Nothobranchius furzeri: one gene and its partners. The protein of the gene in region 2 purifies or fractionates together with the protein of the main gene of each other region. This does not show direct contact. Links are inferred from orthologs where the notes say so. Each region holds a gene or a part of one and is shown on either strand. Other genes may lie near its edges.

What was found. Proteins that work in one complex are often made in the same cells at the same time.
Region 1: the proteins of araf (region 2) and fkbp5 purify together in Homo sapiens (affinity purification with mass spectrometry; 4 studies listed by BioGRID and IntAct, with this or other methods). This does not show direct contact. The link is inferred for Nothobranchius furzeri from reciprocal best matches to the Homo sapiens genes ARAF and FKBP5.
Region 3: the proteins of araf (region 2) and cdc37 purify together in Homo sapiens (affinity purification with mass spectrometry; 7 studies listed by BioGRID and IntAct, with this or other methods). This does not show direct contact. The link is inferred for Nothobranchius furzeri from reciprocal best matches to the Homo sapiens genes ARAF and CDC37.
Region 4: the proteins of araf (region 2) and bag2 purify together in Homo sapiens (affinity purification with mass spectrometry; 3 studies listed by BioGRID and IntAct, with this or other methods). This does not show direct contact. The link is inferred for Nothobranchius furzeri from reciprocal best matches to the Homo sapiens genes ARAF and BAG2.
Region 5: the proteins of araf (region 2) and hsp90ab1 purify together in Homo sapiens (affinity purification with mass spectrometry; 5 studies listed by BioGRID and IntAct, with this or other methods). This does not show direct contact. The link is inferred for Nothobranchius furzeri from reciprocal best matches to the Homo sapiens genes ARAF and HSP90AB1.

The regions. Positions count from the first base shown.
Region 1 is NC_091743.1:66,802,749-66,806,911, forward strand, and holds the start of fkbp5 (peptidyl-prolyl cis-trans isomerase FKBP5), read right to left. Parts: upstream 2,801-4,163; 5' UTR 2,569-2,800; intron 1-2,568. UniProt on the Homo sapiens protein: Immunophilin protein with PPIase and co-chaperone activities. Component of unligated steroid receptors heterocomplexes through interaction with heat-shock protein 90 (HSP90).
Region 2 is NC_091757.1:26,534,323-26,537,822, forward strand, and holds part of araf (serine/threonine-protein kinase A-Raf), read right to left. Parts: intron 3,336-3,500; coding exon 3,232-3,335; intron 2,787-3,231; coding exon of another isoform or gene 2,719-2,786; intron 2,565-2,718; coding exon of another isoform or gene 2,421-2,564; intron 1,770-2,420; coding exon of another isoform or gene 1,645-1,769; intron 925-1,644; coding exon of another isoform or gene 832-924; intron 592-831; coding exon of another isoform or gene 554-591; intron 490-553; coding exon 387-489; intron 288-386; coding exon 133-287; intron 1-132. Other genes in the region: sericin-1-like, read left to right, coding at 554-591, 832-924, 1,645-1,769, 2,421-2,564, 2,719-2,786. UniProt on the Homo sapiens protein: Involved in the transduction of mitogenic signals from the cell membrane to the nucleus. May also regulate the TOR signaling cascade. Phosphorylates PFKFB2.
Region 3 is NC_091745.1:3,429,164-3,433,274, reverse strand, and holds the start of cdc37 (hsp90 co-chaperone Cdc37), read right to left. Parts: upstream 2,801-4,111; 5' UTR 2,786-2,800; coding exon 2,784-2,785; exon of another isoform or gene 2,778-2,783; intron 2,014-2,777; exon of another isoform or gene 1,953-2,013; intron 394-1,952; exon of another isoform or gene 152-393; coding exon 43-151; intron 1-42. Other genes in the region: cmc4 (cx9C motif-containing protein 4), read right to left, coding at 2,801-2,937, 3,016-3,073; uncharacterized protein, read right to left, coding at 3,945-3,952, 4,024-4,111. UniProt on the Homo sapiens protein: Co-chaperone that binds to numerous kinases and promotes their interaction with the Hsp90 complex, resulting in stabilization and promotion of their activity. Inhibits HSP90AA1 ATPase activity.
Region 4 is NC_091752.1:19,643,860-19,647,918, forward strand, and holds the start of bag2 (BAG family molecular chaperone regulator 2), read right to left. Parts: upstream 2,801-4,059; 5' UTR 2,547-2,800; coding exon 2,422-2,546; intron 2,238-2,421; coding exon 2,128-2,237; intron 533-2,127; coding exon 138-532; 3' UTR 1-137. UniProt on the Homo sapiens protein: Co-chaperone for HSP70 and HSC70 chaperone proteins. Acts as a nucleotide-exchange factor (NEF) promoting the release of ADP from the HSP70 and HSC70 proteins thereby triggering client/substrate protein release.
Region 5 is NC_091742.1:8,415,726-8,419,960, reverse strand, and holds the start of hsp90ab1 (heat shock protein HSP 90-beta), read left to right. Parts: upstream 1-1,435; 5' UTR 1,436-1,576; intron 1,577-2,339; coding exon 2,340-2,483; intron 2,484-2,553; coding exon 2,554-2,760; intron 2,761-2,843; coding exon 2,844-3,003; intron 3,004-3,101; coding exon 3,102-3,235; intron 3,236-3,304; coding exon 3,305-3,613; intron 3,614-3,683; coding exon 3,684-3,849; intron 3,850-3,941; coding exon 3,942-4,132; intron 4,133-4,235. UniProt on the Homo sapiens protein: Molecular chaperone that promotes the maturation, structural maintenance and proper regulation of specific target proteins involved for instance in cell cycle control and signal transduction. Undergoes a functional cycle linked to its ATPase activity.

The DNA.
Region 1 (4,163 bases), on a different chromosome or scaffold from region 2:
GTACCAAAAATGTTCAGTATATAGCCCAACAGGCGAGCAGAAATCTGCTGCCAGCATCTCGCACATCCATGTGGAAAAAGGAAAAATCAACAGAAGCTTTGCCAGAGCAATAAAAACTGGAATAACATGTCACCTTTAAAGCTTGTTGACTTTTTAATCACAGCAGCAATCATCGTCCATTCGCTCCATTTTACTCCCATCTAAGAAAGTCACCCCTGACGTAACTACCTTGACATTGTACAAAGAAGAGGAAAATGTAACGCAGCTATGGTAAGCATGCTGGCAAACACTGGTGGATGGTTATAATCAGCTGAGACATTAACACATTTCATCAGAGCTCAGCTGCTTTGGATCGTAGGAACGTTACTGCGGTCAAAGTTGAAACAAAACAAATAAAAGTGGCATTTACCAGTATTGGTTTTTTTTTTTTGTTTGTTTGTTTTTCTCAAGTACCACAATCACCAAATAATTCTCTCTTAAAAAACGTTTTAAAACTCAACATAGGTGTATACTTGCACATCATCTGGTAGAAAGAAATTTTTCTCAGTTTAATAATCATTTTTATTGTTTTTGCTCTAAAGAGAGAAGTCTGGAAATCTAAACAAAGGAAAAGAACTTTGTGTTCTTTCATCTGGCGGACAAAGAGAGACAAGATGTGACTCTAATGACTTAAACACTTGACTCTTGGACCAACAAACATGTTAAAGGCTTTGGTTTTTATGTTTATAAGAAGCTTTATAAACTAAGATAAGAAATATCTCCAGTAAAGGCAAAACTGATCAGAAAGCAGCCTCGCGAACACAGACTTTACTGTGAACTCGCTTTAATAAAAGCAGCTCTTATTAGTAGATTTATTTTCCGTTAATTACACAGAAGGGTCCGTCATTCTTTGCAGATATCACGAATGAGCAAAAAGATGCTTCTCTGCATAAAAAGAAGACCATGTAAATAAACCTCTAATTATTAAACGACAGGCTGAGCAGCAGAATCCTTGTTTTGCATACTGATCAGGAAATAGAATTTGAATCGTTTCTAAATGATTTCTTATGATGCTGAGGCACTTTCCATGCTCCTCATCACACAGGTTGAAACCACAAAGAGCCGTCTTGACTGGCATCACTTTACCCCGCATCCTCACTTTTGTACTTGTATGGAAAAATACAGTTTTTATCCTGAAAAATGTCCCAAAACGTCCGTCCATCAGCAGCTCCACCCTTCCCCGTGTCTTTTAAATTCCACGGATGTCATTTCAGATGTAACTCATGTAACTCGTGTGTCCATGTGTGTGTCTGAACACAATGTTCCTTCTATTCACAGTTCGCCACCGGCAAAGCCCAACAGCGTTCATCAACCTTAAACCCCCCTGATGCACCAGCTTTAATTTTATTTAACAAAAAAAAGGCAAATAAGCTGTTCTAATTTGGTAAATTTTGCATACACTCACATTTTTTACCCCCCACATGATTTAAACTGAGATAAACCAGCGTTGTGACTGCTTATCATCACTGATGATTGCAGACAAGTAAAAAGTTACTCATCCCATCATTGTGATCTCGCCCTTCTTTTTGGTGTATTTCTGTCATCTCTTCCTCGTAAATAAAATATTGACACTTTGCAAAAGCAGAAACAGGGTGTAAATTGTTCCAGCACTGATAAGATGGTACGTAGGCTTCATGTACCAATAACTAAGATGCCCTGCGGAGGAATGCAGGAACAGAACACAATGAGCCAAAGACCACATCCAGAGACGCACACAGTGTATCTGTACATTCTGTTTCACATCCGTACTCTGTTGCTGATTCATACCTAACAAGTGGAGACTCACTGATAATCCTGCACACACAGACACCCCAAAAAAACTAAACTTCTTTTATTAACCTGTTATGGTGCTAAGATTATGATAATAACTTGATATTTATAGATGTCTATCATAAAAATGCTGTAATCATTAAAATCTATTTGTTTTCCAGGCAAAAATTATGCCTGACCTTAACTTTTATAAGTTGTTAACTGACAAATAAACTTTATTTTTTTTCACCTGAGCTGATGAAAATGTGTGCATTTTTATTAGATACTTATAGAATAGTCCTGGCTGGAACTAATTTTGGAGGACCATTTTTGTGCTTATCCCCTCAGCACCTGGTGTCAACCTAAACATTCAGAGTTCTTCACAAGCTGCTCAGTAATATGTAACCAGGTTGTAATGAATCAGCTCAGAGTCGAGTTGAGTTATAATTCTCAGAAGTAGCCTGCACAAAACCCCTGTAATTTATGAAAGGGACACCTAAGCCTAGAGGGATCCTGGATGAGAACATCCACCAACCTCTTCTGGGACCTTCACAAGAAGGCTAAGGACCACATTCAGCCAAAACCTATCCATCCTGGCTCACTTTCCCCCCTCCTTTAAATAATCTTGTATATTCTTATTCTTTAGTGAGACTGTGCACAAGTTCCGTTTAACTCAGCCAGGCGTGAACGAAATTTAAAAAAAAAGATTATTTTAATTAACTCCTAAATTAAATAAAGTATTTCAGAAAGATGAAGATCTGTGTATTAAAAGAGACTTACGATGTTTTGAGGTCCGCTTTTTTATTTTCTTCCCCCAGATGGTTGCCGGTGACGAACAGCTGCAAATTCACTCGGTGGATGTTTATTTCTAAGAAAATGCGTCTTCCTATCTCAGATCCAGCAGGGTACTAAGTGTTCTGCCCATGTGGTTCTTAGCTATGGACTCTTTTTGTCTTTATCCCACCCCCCTCTGCTCCTTCTTCCTCTCCTCAGTGATGAAAGTACCGGTGCGGTCGCAACACGCAGCTCTGACTCCAAAATGACACTGAGGAGATACTACAGAGACAAACTCGCACAAAAATGACAGAGGCAGGAGGAGGCGAGGGGGGTGGAGGGGGGTGGCGGGGGTAAGCAGAAACGAGATGAGTTGTGGGGAGGGTGTTTAGTGTAAAATTAAGGGCAGGTCTTGGAAAGCAGCCACAAAGTAACACAATGTTCCGGCTGTACTGTAGCTGTGCCGCTGCTGATGAGAACACAGTGTTCCAACAGACACCCTGACCTGTAACCCGTTCCGTGCCAGGCCGGGCGGGAACAGCCTGTTCCGCTGCAGCGTGTTCCTCCTCTCTCCGCTCAGCGGACAACACATATCAACAACAAGAGGAGCTGTCTCCGTCTCTCTGTCAGTCCCAGCCGAACCGAACCCCGTAGCAACACGGAGACGTGTCAAAGCACCGACACTGACGTACACCTCTGAGTCCGATGAGTCGCGCGGTTTGACGGATTACTGTTTCTGAGGGAGACGGTAAAAACTCCTCCGCCTTTATCTTAGTTTTTTTTATTTAACGCTGTAGTTACCGACAAAAGCGCGACTTTAGTAGCTGTTTTGTGCGATGATGTGCTGTTATTATTAATTAATGCTCTGTTATGGCTGTTATTTGAACACGAAAGGGGGAGTTGCACCAGCTATATTAGCTTAAGGCTAAACTTGCACAGGTGTTTTTAGCTAGCTATTGAGAATAAAAGCCTAACCGGTGCAGCAATACGTTTATTTGTGCTTTCATTTCCTAAATTAGGACTTTAAAAGAGAATGCCAACAGGAACTGTTTTGTTAAACCAATAACTTGAGTCGTAACTTAACTTTTTCTGCCTGATTAAGTTATTATGTCAGATTAGCATTTTGTATTAGGGAGTGACAGATTATCCCTGCCAAGAAGTAGGATGCTGAGGTTCAATGTAATTTTATATTCTCCACCCAGGAACTAATTAAATACTATTTAAAGTAATTTAACATTCACCAGGCTATCTTTTCCATTTGTTGTCACCTTACACTAAGAATAAGTTATGTTACATGCTAACTTTATACTTCTAGTTAATACGTAATTGGATTTTGAAGCTATTGAGTTCATTATTGAAAAGTAACCATCCAATTGACTATGCAATGAAATATAATTAAAAAGCTTCTAGAAAATAATTATGGATTAAACTGCCCTAAACTCAGCATGAAAGGTAAAAAGATGAACCCATCAGGTAATATGCAAGATTTCTAAACGTACGTTTCTGAATTTACTTTTAAATTTCAGTAAATATGAATGCATCGACTCTTGCATCCGCAGCAGAGTAATTTCACTTTACAGTGAGCACATTGTTCCATGGAT
Region 2 (3,500 bases):
AGAGTATAATGCGTTTCTAAACCCGTCAAAGAGACATCCCACAGAGACAAACAGACAAGTGGGGGACCCTGAGTGTTTTAGGGCCAATGCAAAACCTAAATGATCATCTCATAGACTTCGAGTCCATCTCACCGTTTGCTTTTCATGTCCGTGTCCACACAGACGGTGGGGACCTTGCTGCTACAGTGTTGGTGGAATTTGTAGCCACACGTCTGACATCTGAAGCCATTGAAAAGAAACTTGTGGCAGAAGTCACAGTAAGCCAGCTTGAAAAACGTCTTTCGTACCTGAAGAGAACCACAGCATGAAACCACTCATCTACAGCAACGTCTTTAAGACTAAAGACAGGATCATAAATACTGGCTGCAGAAGCTGCTAGGACTCACATAGTTGTGCATGGTGAGTGGAATATCATCCAGGACTTCCACTAACAACTCCTCTCCCACCAAAGGAGTGATGTCAGTTTTCCAGTCTGTCAGTCTCTTACGGCTGTGGAACCAGACCAGAACAGAGCATCACACACTAGGAGCTGGGCAGCATTCCACATGAACACATGAATTCACTTCACTCTACTGATGACCATCTAAAAAGGCATCTGCTCACGCTGGATCGATAAGGCGTTAGTAGACAGTAACAATGAGTAATCAAATTCATAAGGCTTTAGCGAACAAATAGTTTAAAGTAGGGATGTTCCGATCCAATCACGTGATTTTCAAAGGATCCCAAATCGTTTAGAAGAGACTGATAGCCTCTAAAACCAAAACTTAAGACATTTCTAATTCATTCTGAGAAGGAAAAACTATTTCTTTCTCTTTTGTCTTTTTCCTTCAGGAGTCGCCACACCCGTCTGCGTTTAGTCCTAATCAATTCAATTCGGTTTATTTATAAAGCGCCAAATCACGACGAGTTGTCTCAAGGCACTTGGTAAACATTCCAATACAGGTCAGGTCATTAAGCCAATCAGTAAAAAGTTTCTTTTATAAGGAACCCAGCAGGTGGCATCGAGTCACTGACTAGTGTCAGAGTCTTTACAGCAATCCTCATACTAAGCAAGCATGCAGCGACAGTGGAGAGGAAAACTCCCTTTTAACAGGAAGAAACCTCCAGAGGATCCTCGCTCAGTATAAGCAGCCATCCTCCACGACTCACTGGGGATCGAGAAGACAGAGCAGGCACACACACACACGCGCACACACACACACACACACACACACACACACACACACACACACACACACACACGAACAATGCATAAATATTAATATAAATATTTAACTCTCCCACTGTCCTATTGGGTGACCCCTCCAGGAAAGTTGACCATTGACCTCCTTGAGGAGGTGGTGGTAGAAGTAGTAGTAGAAGTGATAGTAATGGTGGTAGTAGTATTGGAAGTAGTAATAGTAATAGTAGTAGTAGTAGTAGTAGTAGTGGTGGTGGTGGTGGTGGTGGTGGTGGTGGTGGTGTTAGTAGTAGTAGTAGTAGTGGTGGTGGTGGTGTTAGTAGTAGTAGTAGTAGTGGTGGTGGTGGTGTTAGTAGTAGTAGTAGTAGTAGTAATAGCGGTAGTAGTGGTGGTGGTGTTGTTAGTAGTAGTAGTAGTAGTAGTAGTAGAGGTGGTGGTGGTAGTAGTAGTACTGGTGGTGGTAGTGTTAGTGGTAGTGACAGTGGTAGTGTTAGTAGTAGTAGTGGTGGTGGTGGTGTTAGTAGTAGTAGTAGTAGTGGTGGTGGTGGTGTTAGTAGTAGTAGTAGTAGTAGTAGTAGTAGTAATAGCAGTAGTAGTGGTGGTGGTGTTGTTAGTAGTAGTAGTAGTAGTAGTAGAGGTGGTGGTGGTAGTAGTAGTACTGGTGGTGGTAGTGTTAGTAGTAGTGACAGTGGTAGTGTTAGTAGTAGTAGTAGTACTGGTGGTGGTAGTGTTAGTAGTAGTGACAGTGGTAGTGTTAGTAGTAGTAGTAGTACTGGTGGTGGTAGTGTTAGTAGTAGTGACAGTGGTAGTGTTAGTAGTAGTAGTGATGGTGGTAGTGTTAGTAGTAGTAGTAGTACTGGTGGTGGTAGTGTTAGTAGTGGTGACGGTGGTAGTGTTAGTAGTAGTAGTAGTACTGGTGGTGGTAGTGTTAGTAGTAGTGACAGTGGTAGTGTTAGTAGTAGTAGTAGTAGTGATGGTGGTAGTGTTAGTAGTAGTAGTAGTAGTGGTGGTGGTAGTGTTAGTAGTAGTGACAGTGGTAGTGTTAGTAGTAGTAGTAGTAGTAGTAGTGACGGTGGTAGTGTTAGTAGTAGTGACAGTGGTAGTGTTAGTAGTAGTAGTGTTAGTAGTAGTGACGGTGGTAGTGTTAATAGTAGTAGTGTTAGTAGTAGTGACAGTGGTAGTGTTAGTAGTAGTAGTGTTAGTAGTAGTGACAGTGGTAGTGTTAGTAGTAGTAGTGTTAGTAGTAGTGACGGTGGTAGTGTTAGTAGTAGTGTTGGTGGTAGTGGTAGTAGTAGTAGTGTTGGTGGTAGTGGTAGTAGTAGTAGTGTTGGTGGTAGTGGTAGTAGTAGTAGTGTTGGTGGTAGTGGTAGTAGTAGTGACAGTGGTAGTGTTAGTAGTAGTAGTGTTAGTAGTAGTGACGGTGGTAGTGTTAGTAGTAGTGTTGGTGGTAGTGGTAGTAGTAGTAGTGTTGGTGGTAGTGGTAGTAGTAGTAGTAGTACTGGTGGTGGTAGCAGTAGCATTCATGGCTAAATATAAAGGAATTCAGGACACTGCCCGACCATGGCGAAGCCTCAAGTCAAACACTCAAAAGCTACGATCTTCCTGAACACGTGCTGCTCAGACCTAATACATCACTGAGAATCAGGTGTCATCAACATATTCCTCTCACTGAGGGTGGTTTGATTAACCCTTTGATGCATGAATTATGAAATCTTCAACCATGATTTTTTAAACAATTTTTTTCATTCGTCTTTACGTGTGAATGAAACAAATTTCAACAAATATTTTTTGTCAAATTTTATAATTTACAAATAATTTATTACGTGTTCACCTCAGTGGACAGCGTGCATTCTGAGCATGAAATATGTTGGCTTGGCTTCCTGAAGTCCAAATGGAGCGGCTCAAATGCAATAAAGTCTTCAACAGCTGAGCTTAGTAGCAAAAACAAATAAATAACAGTTTTGAGTACCTGTCCACTGTAGTGACCATTATGCACCAAAGGGTTAAAATAATCAAGAGTAGATGTGGAAAAGTAAGTGAGGACATATTACCCCTCTAACAAACGAAACACAGCACAGCAGTCCTGATTCAGCCCTCGAACCTTGAGGGCTTTATCAAGAACCTCGTACACAGTCTGTTCATGTCGGACGTTCACCTGCCAACAGAAGCATGTTTGAAAAGGTTTACGTAGATGCATACACAGATTAATATTTACACATACATACAGGTGGTATCTATGTGTGACTGTACAAGTATATACATACATATCTATACACTTTACACTTTGTAAACACATCAAATCTCAACTGGAAATCAATCT
Region 3 (4,111 bases), on a different chromosome or scaffold from region 2:
AAGAAAATCAAAACTCAGTCACGTTATAAATCAAAAAGGTACCTGGTGTCTCCATCTGAAGAGGCTGGGTGTGTCAATGTTTGGGTGGGTATCATCTTCATCGTCCGAGACCTCAATGTGATCCCACACGCTGTAATCTATCCTGGACATCCTGTAAACCAGAACCTAGCTTGTTTTAAGAGTTCGATAATTTCAATTAAAACTCTCGGAAAAACAAATTCAACAACACTCTGACGCTTTCCAAAGTCTCCGAAAGATGTGTTAACTACCAACGGCGCATTAGACTGTAGTCTTATCAGAAGGGAAGGAGCTGGACTGTCTCAGCGACAGTTAGCCAAATGCTGCTACAAAATTCTAGAAAGATTCGCTGCTGCAAGCTTCCGCTACACGCCTAAACGTCATGACGTAAAAGGCACGTATGACGCAGGTGTTGTGGTAAAAAATGCACTCGTATGTGCCTGCGACCGTATGTTAAACTTACTAGAAAAACCAAGTTTTTCACAAACGCACCCCGTTAATAAACAAGTAAAGATGTATGAGTTAAAGTTCGGTTTCGAACAAAGTCTGTTTGACACAAATGCCTATACGAACAGAGGGGCTTTTTCCGGCACAACACCATGAGTTACAAAAGTGAACTGAACAGATTTCCTTCATTTCTTTCTTCGTATTTTTACTGTAGTTACTCAGATTTCTAAACAACCGAAATATCGTTTCCACTATATAGATACCATTTGTGTAGCCTACATAAAAACCATAATGTCTGATCGTGTACCAATCCATCCTTATCCTCATATTATTGCATATAGTTAAACCTGGTTAGCAGCAGATTAGTCAGAATGTTAGTCTGTTGTACAGATTATAAAAGTATTTACATCACAACTATTTTTGTAGTTTCTTTACAAGACGTGACTTCTTTTTCTCCACATTTGTGCTTTGACTTTCTTTTATTTATTAACTTATTATTGTATGCTAAACTGAAAGTACTATAAAATATCAAGTATCTTACACAATTATTTTTCAGCTAATCTAAACATTTCTGTAAAACTTAAAAAAGCAAACTGTTTTTCTCTACCGAATAAAACTATCTTCTTGGACTTTTCCCCCTTGTCAAACATCCACAGACTGAGGCTGTTTTCTCAGCGAGACATCTTACCTTCTTTACTGGACCAAGAACAGAGGCTGAGAGGTCTTGATGATGGTATAGTGTTCAGCTTTTTTTTTTTTTTTTTTTTTCATTTTATTTTTTGTTATTCTTTGGATGGAAAAACCACAAGTAAATGTTTAGATATAAACTAGCAAACGCTTCTCAAGAAACAATAATTAGAGCTGACCCTGAAAGCTGACTGGAGATCCAAACAAGCCAGTATTCAGTATGGCGTCTTAACCAGTGATCATCCAAATACCAAAAATCTGATTGATTTTTCATTAAACATAAACAGCCCAAAATAGTAGTATCAGCTCAGCAGGTCAGGGTTGAAAAAGAAATCTGCATGTTGGCCCTTAAATCCAGAATCAGCTCATCTCTGGAATTGTTAAATTTTCTCTTGTTTCGTTTGCTTTCAGCCCTTCATCCACCCAACATGGACATTCTTATAAGTGCCAGTAAGCATTTTGTTGGACACATTCAATTAGAATAAATCTAAATGATTTCAAGAGTTTGAAACTGGTAATCTCAATGTTTGCACTGTGAAGATGGAACCTCGACGTGATCAATAATTTATTAATGGATGACTTTTGCAATGAATTTTAGTATTTTGTTAGCAATGGTCAGTTTTAAAATAGTATGTGTAATAATAATAGAATAATTGCTCTCTTTATCAATCTGTTTAGGAAGCTTCTAAAGAAGTAATGACTGAAGGATGAAAGTTGGTGTTAGGATGGTGTAATATGGAACATATTATTGCCACACATGAGATTGTTTTTAGAAATTAAATGTTTCTGAAAATACTTACAGTGTGTTCTATATGTGCATTACTCACAAGCATGATGATAAAAAAACCTATTTTTACAGACCTGAACAGGGACATGAAAACACACACAAATAGACAAAAATATAGATCAGTTAAATGTTTTACCTGGTGATCGTGAATCGTCACGTTTACATTAACCCAGAGCTCTGAGCAGAATAAACACGAGGAGAGCTGGGACCACTTTAATATAAATATCAGGAGTTTAGTTTGGGTCTGCCACCAGAATCACAGTCAAGATGTCTACTATCAGTCTTTTAATGTATTTGTTTCTGTAAGCAAGCATATTTATAACAGTCTCACGCATGGACGTAATTTTCACTTTAGAAGTGGGGGGGACACGGGTGTGTGTGTGTGTGGGGGGGGGGGGGGGTATCTTTACAGTATGCTCTAATGGGAAACAGGCTTCAACACAAACAGTTGTTTTCCACTTGGTCCTAGAGCTCAACCAGTGTGAATTTAATATAGCGTAAAATTGTTTTTGGATGGTAAAAAGTGCAGGGGTCAAAACTTGACTTTGGAAAAAGTGGGGGGGACATGTCCCCCTGACCCCCCCCCCCCCCCCCCCCAAAATTACGTCCATGGTCTCACGTGATCTTCAGCTCACTGGCATGCAAAGATTCGATCATTTTAACACGATCAGAGGGCGGTGGACATAACCTGGTTGTAGTTAATCACACTGCCAGGGAGGAGTGTTATCTTAAAGCTTTACACGTTTACACGTCCAGTGTTAAGTTTAGTGTGTACTTTTATGATAATTATTATGATACATGTAATAATGAATACATTCCAACGGTAAATGCCAAACACACTGACATTTGATTGAGATGTTTTTATGCGTTGCTCTTGTTCCCCGTTGGTTTGGACTCCCTAAACCCGGAGCAGCAGATGGATTTCCCGGCCTGAGCTTCACAGCACCGCCGCATCTCTCGGATCACATTCTCACACAAACTCTCCGAGTAGTTGTTGGCTGCAGGAGTGGAACGGAGTTATGTGACTGTGGGGTTCGCCCGCTGTCTAGCAGCATTTTCATCTACATTTAATGTACCTTGCAGACACTTTTGAATAGCACATGCCTGTTTTTGACACGGATCTTTCTCCGGCATGCCTGAAAGAAAACGCAGCAATAGTGTAATCAAATTTTAAAGCATCAGGATACCCAAAAGGAGCTAAAAGCCGATTCCCACCTGGACGTCTTAGCTAGTGCGATGCATTCTCCTCTCGCGAGAGTGATCATGTGACGCAACGAGATCTAATCAAATCCGGACAATGAACAACAGCGACCTCTGGTGTTGCAAAGGAATTTGACAACGTCGCCTTGAAAACCTAAATGTAATTCCAAAATGTTTTGCAGTAACCGAACATAAAATGTATTTATAGAATAATTTTGAATATTTTTTTCATTAACTAACCTTCAGAAAGTATAAATTTACATTTTAAAGAAGCCATAATCTTTTGGTGGGAGGTATTTTTCACAAGTACGGAAATTTTGTTTATTTATTTACATTACTCAGAACTGGCACTAATAACTATCAAAATACACGTTTAAAAATCAAACCATAAAAAGAATTTTTTGTTTATTTAACTTTATTTATAAAGATAAGAACATTTAGAAACAGTTCATATTTACAGTAACTTCACATTGTTAGTCATTGGCGTATCAAGGGTAGTTATACTTTGTCAAATTATGATTTTCTTTACTTATTAGATCATTAAAAATATTCTAGTACATATATAATAAGGGAAATTTTATTACATAAAACAACAACAGTAGACTACGACAAAAATCAACCTTCACATAATAAATGGCGTTTGCTAAACATCTTCATTTGTCTTCTTTGTGAGATCTAACTCTGTATGATAACAGAATACATCAAAACATCCACTGATTACTGAATGCTTCCATCTCATGAGGCAGCAGCAATAAAACCTGCTCAGTGAAATTCTTCCAGCTGATTCAAGTCCTGTTAGTGGGCCTTAAACACCTGAACAACAGAAAACAAATTAGGATGCAGAGTTTTACTTGCAGATGTAGTTCCTCATACTTCCCCTTTACCTTTGGTCTTTGCTTTGACAATGAACTGTTTGCTCTTCTTTTCCAGCGTGTTTGAGGCAGCACAGGTGTATGTCCCAGGGAGAAGGGA
Region 4 (4,059 bases), on a different chromosome or scaffold from region 2:
AATTCGGTATGGCATTTTCCCATAAGACCTCTCCTTGCTGCTTCAAGCAGAGTCCATCTGAAATTAATTAAATGTGTAAAAGCTAACTATAGCTTTCTGTGAGGTTAGTGGAATTCAAGACACCTCGGCAAAGGGTCTCAGTGACCCCCGTTAGCTTTTGTGCCCTCCAGTTTTTGGTGATCCATTATCTTGATGTTCTTTTCGGCATTTTCAACGTTCCTCAGCAGAGTCTCCAGCCTTCGCTTTATCTTCTTCTGGTCCTCCAGAGCGCAGCTGATCACCACGGTCTGAAACTTCTGGTCAATAGGGACGAGCGGTGCCTCCGTGACGCAGGCAGCGTGCAGGGCCAGCAGCTGCTGACGGCCACCTTCCATGTCGCTCAGCAGCTTTTTCACAATCTCGTCTATCATAGACGTGGCCTTGAGTAGTGCATCCTCCTGTTGGGGGTTTCTGATTGTGCCAACAGAGATCTCCACAGACAACGTTCGGCCCATCAGACGGTTCGCAGTCAAAGATAACTCTTCCCTCTCACCTAGAAGACATGTAAACATATTACTAAATCTTTATAGGAAAGAAACTGCTTTTAATGCGGCTGTAACAGCACATCAATAGTCATTTCATATTTCTAAAAGTTTATTTCAATGAGTACAAGCTCTGATTTGTCTGAGATCCCACCCCACACCATAATACTGCCCCCACTGAAACCTGTTAAGCAATATTCATGATGTTCTCCATGATTCTGCCAACTTGTCAATAATAACAAGCTGACACCAAAATACCACTGATATTAATTGGAAGAAATGAATGCAATAACATTTCCAAACATATTTTTTATTGGGATGGACGATGTTTCTCTGGAGCATTTTTTGCCATATTGCTTGTTATGGTCATCACATCGTACAGCAACCAATAAAGTAAATGCTTTGTCGAAAAACTAATAATTTTCATTTCCTCTGAAACATGCAATCCCGTTCTTAATGACTGAATCATGATCCATCCATCAAACTCCCCTCTGACAGTCCCTCCGCTGTATGCGCATACCCGTATTTGTGGATGTATTGCGCATTCTTGGCTTAGAGTAGTTGAACAGGAAGCAAAGTCGGAGCCGGACTGCCTAGTGTTTAACGGACAGAATGTTCGGTTATGTTTGCAAATTTTATTCAAAGATTAGGTTATAACTCATCTTTTCTTGTCATCTAGAATCTTCTGGTGCTGATCTGTAACAGGCCCTTTTGCGCCATGAGAATCTATCGTGGCTGCAGGAACTGAAGTAGGGATAATCCCAACCCACCTCCCCACCTAGTGGACACTTATATTGTGTAATGCCTGAAGTCTGTTGCATCTCTGTCGGAGGTGGGTGTTTTTTTTTTTTTTGCATAGCAAAGCTGCCTTCCCAGTGGAGGGTAACTCTGAAGTGCCTTTTTTTCCCTCCACCTGAACCAATCCTCATGTAACCCTCTGATCTCAATTAGCACGACTCAGGGTTGCGAATGACCACAGTCACCAATTCTTGTCATATGTCTTGCCCATGTATGTCTGATCTCTGAATTGTGTGTACTGAAACTCTAATTTCCCTCTGGGATTAATAAAGTATCTTTGATTTGATTTTGATTGACACTCACGGCAGTGACTTTTGCTTACAAATGTGGTCTGCAGTAACCAAATTTGACCACAGGATGTCAGTCTTACATAATGCACCTTTACATAAAGCCCTTCTTTCAAATCCCTGACCAGTTGAGAGGAGTTTCTAGGTGAACCATGGAGCTCGTGTGAATCATACTAACTTACATTAATGAGGTTTAATGGAGCATAAACCAACATGACTAGACGGTCTACCCTGGTCAGACTCTGGATTTAAATAATGAGCTTTAAGGGTTAGGCCTTTTTGTCTGTTTACAGCGGAACCAAATCAATAAACCAGATGTAGGCTATTGACTCACACGATCCAGAGGTGAAACATGAGCCTGGTTCACACAAACTGGGTCTGGGTGAGATCAGAGGAGATGGGATTCTGGTAGAAATACATTAACCGTACTAGTTCCCCTTTATAACCGCGTATCTTCCCTGGCATTAAGCCGTGCGTGACTTTTGCGCTTATGTAAGTTAAGAGAGAGTTAGCAGCTTCACCAGCACAGATGTTCCTCATTTCTTGACTGTTCTGTATGGACTGAATCATTTCCAGGATGCACTCCCTTTCCTGCTCCATGGCAGATGCTGCTTCTCGTAAAGCCTCCACTCTGACACAGAAAGAGAGACAGCATATGAAATAACACGCTGCAAACCAGTTATGTTTGTTATGAAAAACATTTATTGTCACATTGCCCTGTTTACAGTGTTTATAAAAGGTTTATGCCAATAAATGTTAGCGGCCGGGGCAAATAGCGGCTCCGTAGCACACATGGTACAACAAGGGCCTGTTACCTCGTTTCCAGCTGATCCAAACTTTCCAGGAGTCGCCCCGAGCGGTCTGCCATAGAAAGCGTCCTGCTGAACTTGCTGCAGAGGGCAGCTTCGTTCATTTTCGCTTGTATTTTCGCTTGAGCCATAATGAAGACGAAGATGATGGCTACAGTGCTTTCCCTCGGTGAGCGCAAAATCCAGTGTGTGTCCCTCCGAGCCGTCCAGCTGGGTGTAAATCCTCGGACTGAGGCAGGCAGCAGCAGCGCCCCATGGGGGGAACATTTCCTAACATGGACTTCCTTCACTCCGGCAGAAAGTTCCCGAGGAGACCAGAGCTGGAGCTCCCAATCGTAAGGAGCGTGGACCAGCAGAGGTCCGTGAGCAAGCTCCTCCAGGTCCACGGAAATAAAAGACCTATAATGTTCCAACTCACTTTGCAGTTTTAAGTAATGTGTCTTGATTTATTTGGGCATAATTTTTATTAGGCAGATTGGTAAAGTAATCAAGTTATTCTGATAAACTTATCCAGGCCTATATATATATATATAATTCATTTTCACTCCAGACTACAGATGAAAGCCTGTGGTGGTCTGCAACCCGCAACTCTGGAGCCACAGTGGACCTTCCAGAATGGCTTTTACTTTATAATAATCATAGATATAATAGAAAAAGTGAGATTTAAGCAGCCTTTTGTTATGGATTAATTGAACTGAATTCCCACAACGCAGTGACACCTGTCATCTAGAGGTGAAAACTGCATTACACCCCTAGGCCTCTCAGTTTCCATGATTATGGCCTTTTTATGAACAGTCATGTTGTGCTGTTTATCATGTATATTTTAAAGACTTACTTGTCCATAAGAAATGTTACCAACTCTGCATCAGTCTGGGCTCGTCTTCCCTCTGATCACCTCTCCGTCCAATCTTCTTTTCGAGCTCCCCATGTGTATGTCGTTTGATGGCTTCCGGGGGAGCTGATTACCCTTTTGGGGGAGCCGTGATTTCAACCTCCCCCAAAAATCGCCAAGAAAATTTCAAAAAGATGTATTGCCTTGGTTATCACAGTACAGGCTTTTATGGATTAAAAGAAAATCATAAATAATTCTTGGAAGGGGGGAAACTCCAGGTTGCTGCTTTAAAGTACCCATGAGATTTTTACATCTATTTTTTAAAAATAATTTCCCTAAATATAAATATCTGGTACAAAAAATACATTCATACACTTTTGGCAAAAGTTTTCTTCCTAAACTCAAAATCTAATAGGAACAAAATGGTGTAAATATTTATGAGACGTCTAACCTTAACCTCAGAATTCTGATTATTTTTCCCTCAGAAAAGAGAAAAAGAACTTCTTCTTCAGTGGCCCTAATCCTTTTATGTAAATAGTTCAACAATTATAAAGATCTTGTTTCAAAAGGTCCTGTAACAGTTACCCATGGTCCAGAGAAGCTGTGGTGGACGTCCCTTAAGGTGGCCACCCTAATGCGTCATTCCCTGTTTTGGGGACATTTATAGAAATGATTAACAAGAATTATTTTGGGGAAAACTACATCCACACAAACAAGGTGATCCCAAACCGACACAAGCAGATTTCACAAGCTCTTGAAAAAAATTCCATCTGTTCATTAGAAGTTACCTGTTAAACTGTAAATCAGCACAA
Region 5 (4,235 bases), on a different chromosome or scaffold from region 2:
AGAGTACTGGCGCGCTTGTTTTGTGCACCAGAGTGTATACACTGAACGGGGCTTAATGTGAATTCGCAAAATGAACCCTTTTCAGGAAACGAAACTTCTGCTAACAGGGTTCGATCAGATTACCTAACTAACCTTGGAAGACCTAATGCGCGGTAGTAACTAAATGAATAAAAAAGGTTGAATAATAATAGCATTGAAATTAAGTTACACCAAAAAAGCGGTCCGCATTTTTTTTATTAAAACGATTTGTTTCTAATCGGTTTAATTTACAAAACATCTGATCACATAAAAAAACAGCATTGTGATTTTCCTACTCGTTTTAATCAATTAGAGGATAAAGCCATCATATGATTATTTCAATGTTAAACTTCTTTTTAAATGTTTTTTAAAAGAGTACATAAAAATTCTGTGTACATTATTGTTAAAATGGTCATTCTTACCAATTCTGAAATTGTAACTAATAAATAACATATTCTGTATGCAAAGTATGACTGTACTTCTGTTATTTATCACTGAGGTTACTATCTAAATTTATAAATGTGTCTTCTGTAGTTAAACTACATAATAGAAAGCTGAATCATAATCATTTGTGCATCTCTTGCATTTGATGGGTCTAACTGCGTACATTTATTCCACTCTAATCCACTTGACAACAGTGACTTCTTCCCCTTACACTGTACTAAAAACTCAATTCCAAAGTCGTGATCAACATGACAAATATAGTATTACATTTATGTATAGCAGTCCATCTTCCACTGGTGTTCTATGTCCATAAGAAAATCTGTAATTCATATAATAACAACCATTAGTTCATTTGACAATATAAAGCATATATTCTCATGATTCAGTACGGAAAAGGGTTGAGTTGATGGTTGTTAAGGCGTTTTTGCTGTAGGAACATTTTGTGACAGATGATACGTCGGGAGAGGAAAGGGGGAGATCTGTGACGTCACTTTAAGGCGGGGCTTTCATGGAAAGTGCTAGAAGCAGGCTAGAAGAAACGAAGCACACCTTCTCGTGTTTGAAATATTCATCCGTCGGAGTAAAAAGACCCACAGTCTATGTCGAATTTCAGGGAAACTAGACGCCACTTGAGATTTGAACTTGACGCGTGGTTTTAGTGTTATGCGAATCATTTCTCTATGTTGTCGCTAGATGGGATGATTGAGATCAAAAAACATCGCCTCTCAGTGCATGGTTTGCTGTAGCTCAACCTACCACAAGATGGCGACAACGTTACACTAAGGTCCGACTTCGTATACATTTTCTTTACTTAGATTGCATAATTGGCATTTAAACCCTTTTTACCCAACAAAACGTGAATAATAGATTATTCTTTTCCAGTGAGGAAGCATACAATGTGTGTTTAGTTCTGGCTGCGGTTTTACATAAAAGTGATTGCTTCAGGTTGTAGCTCGTGAACTGCGGATGGATACGACTGCACACTGCGACCCACGTGTATAAAGACTGGTCTGGTGCCGAAAAGTAGTTCCTTTCCTTTTTCTTCAGTCAGGGAGCGCAAGGGACTACACTTTTGCTGCATTTTATTCAAGAAAAAGTCAACGAAATTACCAAGGTGCGTACATTAACGGGTCCGTAGCTCGTGTCAGACATCCTTACCTTTATAAGTTTGTTAAAATATCATCGGTATGTATGTGTTTAACGAACATTATTAGTTAATGAAAATCCAGAGGTTAATATGGTGGTCGAATAAGTGTTTCGTGGAAGACAGACGCCTAGTACGTCGGCTGATGTTTTCATTTTCCTCTCGAGAGACTACTATTTGCTTATGTTTCCGAGCATCGTAGTGATGCTCTTGAGCAGCGGGAATGCGGCACCGTGATGTCAGGCAGGTGTGGTGACGGTGACTCCGCTGGATCGAGTTCTCGGCCTGATTAAATCCGTTATAAACCCACGTTAAACCGGTACACTGAGTTTAATGTGTGCGTAATAAGGCCTGGTTACCAGCCACGAGGGGTAGTGTTCATTTGGTCGTTACGTAATTGAACGCGGTTTCAATTAACCTCCACGTTTTACTGAAACTATCACATGGAGGCTAAAACAAGTACGTTTGTAGTATTTATGGAAGTCGTCGTCGCATTGTTTATCTATTAAAGTGACTTGAGTTGATCCGCCTTAATCGTTCGCCAGCACGTGTTTGCTGCGTCCATTGTCTAGTAGAAGCCATGTTTGTTAACTGACACTTCCGCCCTTATGTAGCAGACTGCTGCAGCGGCCATCCAACTTAATGAAGCCACTTGACGAAATCGCGTTACTTTGAAACTATCTTAAGTTCTGTTTCACTTTCATTTACTGAAGTGACTTTGTTATATTTTCAGATGCCTGAAGAAATGCACCAAGAGGAGGAGGTTGAGACCTTTGCCTTCCAGGCAGAGATCGCTCAGCTGATGTCCCTGATCATCAACACCTTCTACTCCAACAAAGAGATCTTCCTTAGGGAGTTGATCTCAAACGCTTCTGATGTGAGTCTGCTGAAGCTTCAGTATTCTTCTGACTTTAAGGAAGAAACTAACCGCTATTCCCTGTTTTCAGGCTCTGGACAAAATCCGCTATGAAAGCTTGACTGACCCCTCAAAACTGGACACTGGCAAAGATCTGAAAATTGACATCATTCCCAACAAAGCTGACCGGACTTTGACCCTGATTGACACCGGGATTGGCATGACCAAAGCTGACCTTATTAACAACCTGGGCACCATCGCCAAGTCGGGCACAAAGGCCTTCATGGAGGCCCTCCAGGTACTACGCATCCCATAATGGCCTGCACAGGATCTTAAGAGACTGACTGATCTTGTGAAGCTAAATTTGTTTTATTCCTCCAGGCTGGTGCTGACATCTCAATGATTGGTCAGTTCGGTGTGGGTTTTTACTCTGCTTATCTTGTTGCTGAGAAAGTGGTCGTCATCACCAAACACAATGATGATGAGCAGTACGCCTGGGAGTCATCTGCTGGAGGTTCCTTCACAGTCAAGGTTGACAGCGGTGTGTAATTCTAACCATCACCAGTGACGTCTGAGTGTGCACTACTTGCTTACTCTAGTTTATTTTAGCTTTTCTGAAAATTCCTCAAATGTTTTCAGGCGAGCCCATTGGCCGTGGAACTAAGATCATTCTGCACCTGAAGGAGGACCAGACAGAGTATGTGGAGGACAAGAGGGTCAAGGAGATCGTTAAGAAGCACTCTCAATTCATTGGCTACCCCATCACCTTGTTTGTAAGTGCTTAAAAGTACGTTTTAAAAATTTTAAGTCTTGGGCAGATTTCTAAAGCTTTTATGTCGCAGGTGGAGAAGGAGCGCGACAAGGAGATTAGTGACGACGAGGCAGAGGAGGAAAAGACCGAGAAAGAGGAGAAAGAAGAAGAAGCTGAAGACAAGCCCAAGATTGAAGATGTGGGTTCAGATGATGAGGAGGATTCCAAAGACAAGGACAAGAAGAAGAAGAAAAAGATCAAGGAGAAGTACATTGATCAGGAGGAGCTGAACAAGACCAAGCCCATCTGGACCAGGAACCCCGATGACATCACAAATGAAGAATATGGTGAATTCTACAAGAGTCTAACAAATGACTGGGAGGATCACCTGGCTGTCAAGGTACACGAGTTTCCGACAAAGTTTTAACCCTGCGGGCTGATTTTTTTTCTAATGCTTTATTTTCTTTCAGCACTTCTCTGTGGAAGGCCAGCTGGAGTTCAGAGCCCTGCTCTTTATTCCTCGCCGTGCACCCTTTGACCTCTTCGAGAACAAGAAAAAGAAGAACAACATCAAGCTGTACGTCAGGCGGGTCTTCATCATGGACAACTGTGAGGAGCTCATTCCTGAGTATCTGAGTAAGTTCAGCTGCATTTTCCACTGTGGTCTGAAATGATTCCACAGACTCTTTAAATGGCTAATGCATTTAAAATTACTTTGTCCACTCAAGACTTCATCCGTGGTGTTGTGGACTCTGAGGACCTGCCCCTCAACATCTCCAGAGAAATGCTGCAGCAAAGCAAGATCCTGAAGGTTATTCGCAAAAACATAGTCAAGAAGTGCTTGGAGCTGTTTGCAGAACTGTCGGAGGACAAAGACAACTACAAGAAATTCTACGAGGCTTTCTCAAAGAACATGAAGGTATTGAAACTAAATGGTGGATTCATCTGAATTGGCTTGGTGTGTTTTATAAACTGAGGGACGCATTGCTGTATTTTGCATTTAAAGATCATGTTTGGTTGCT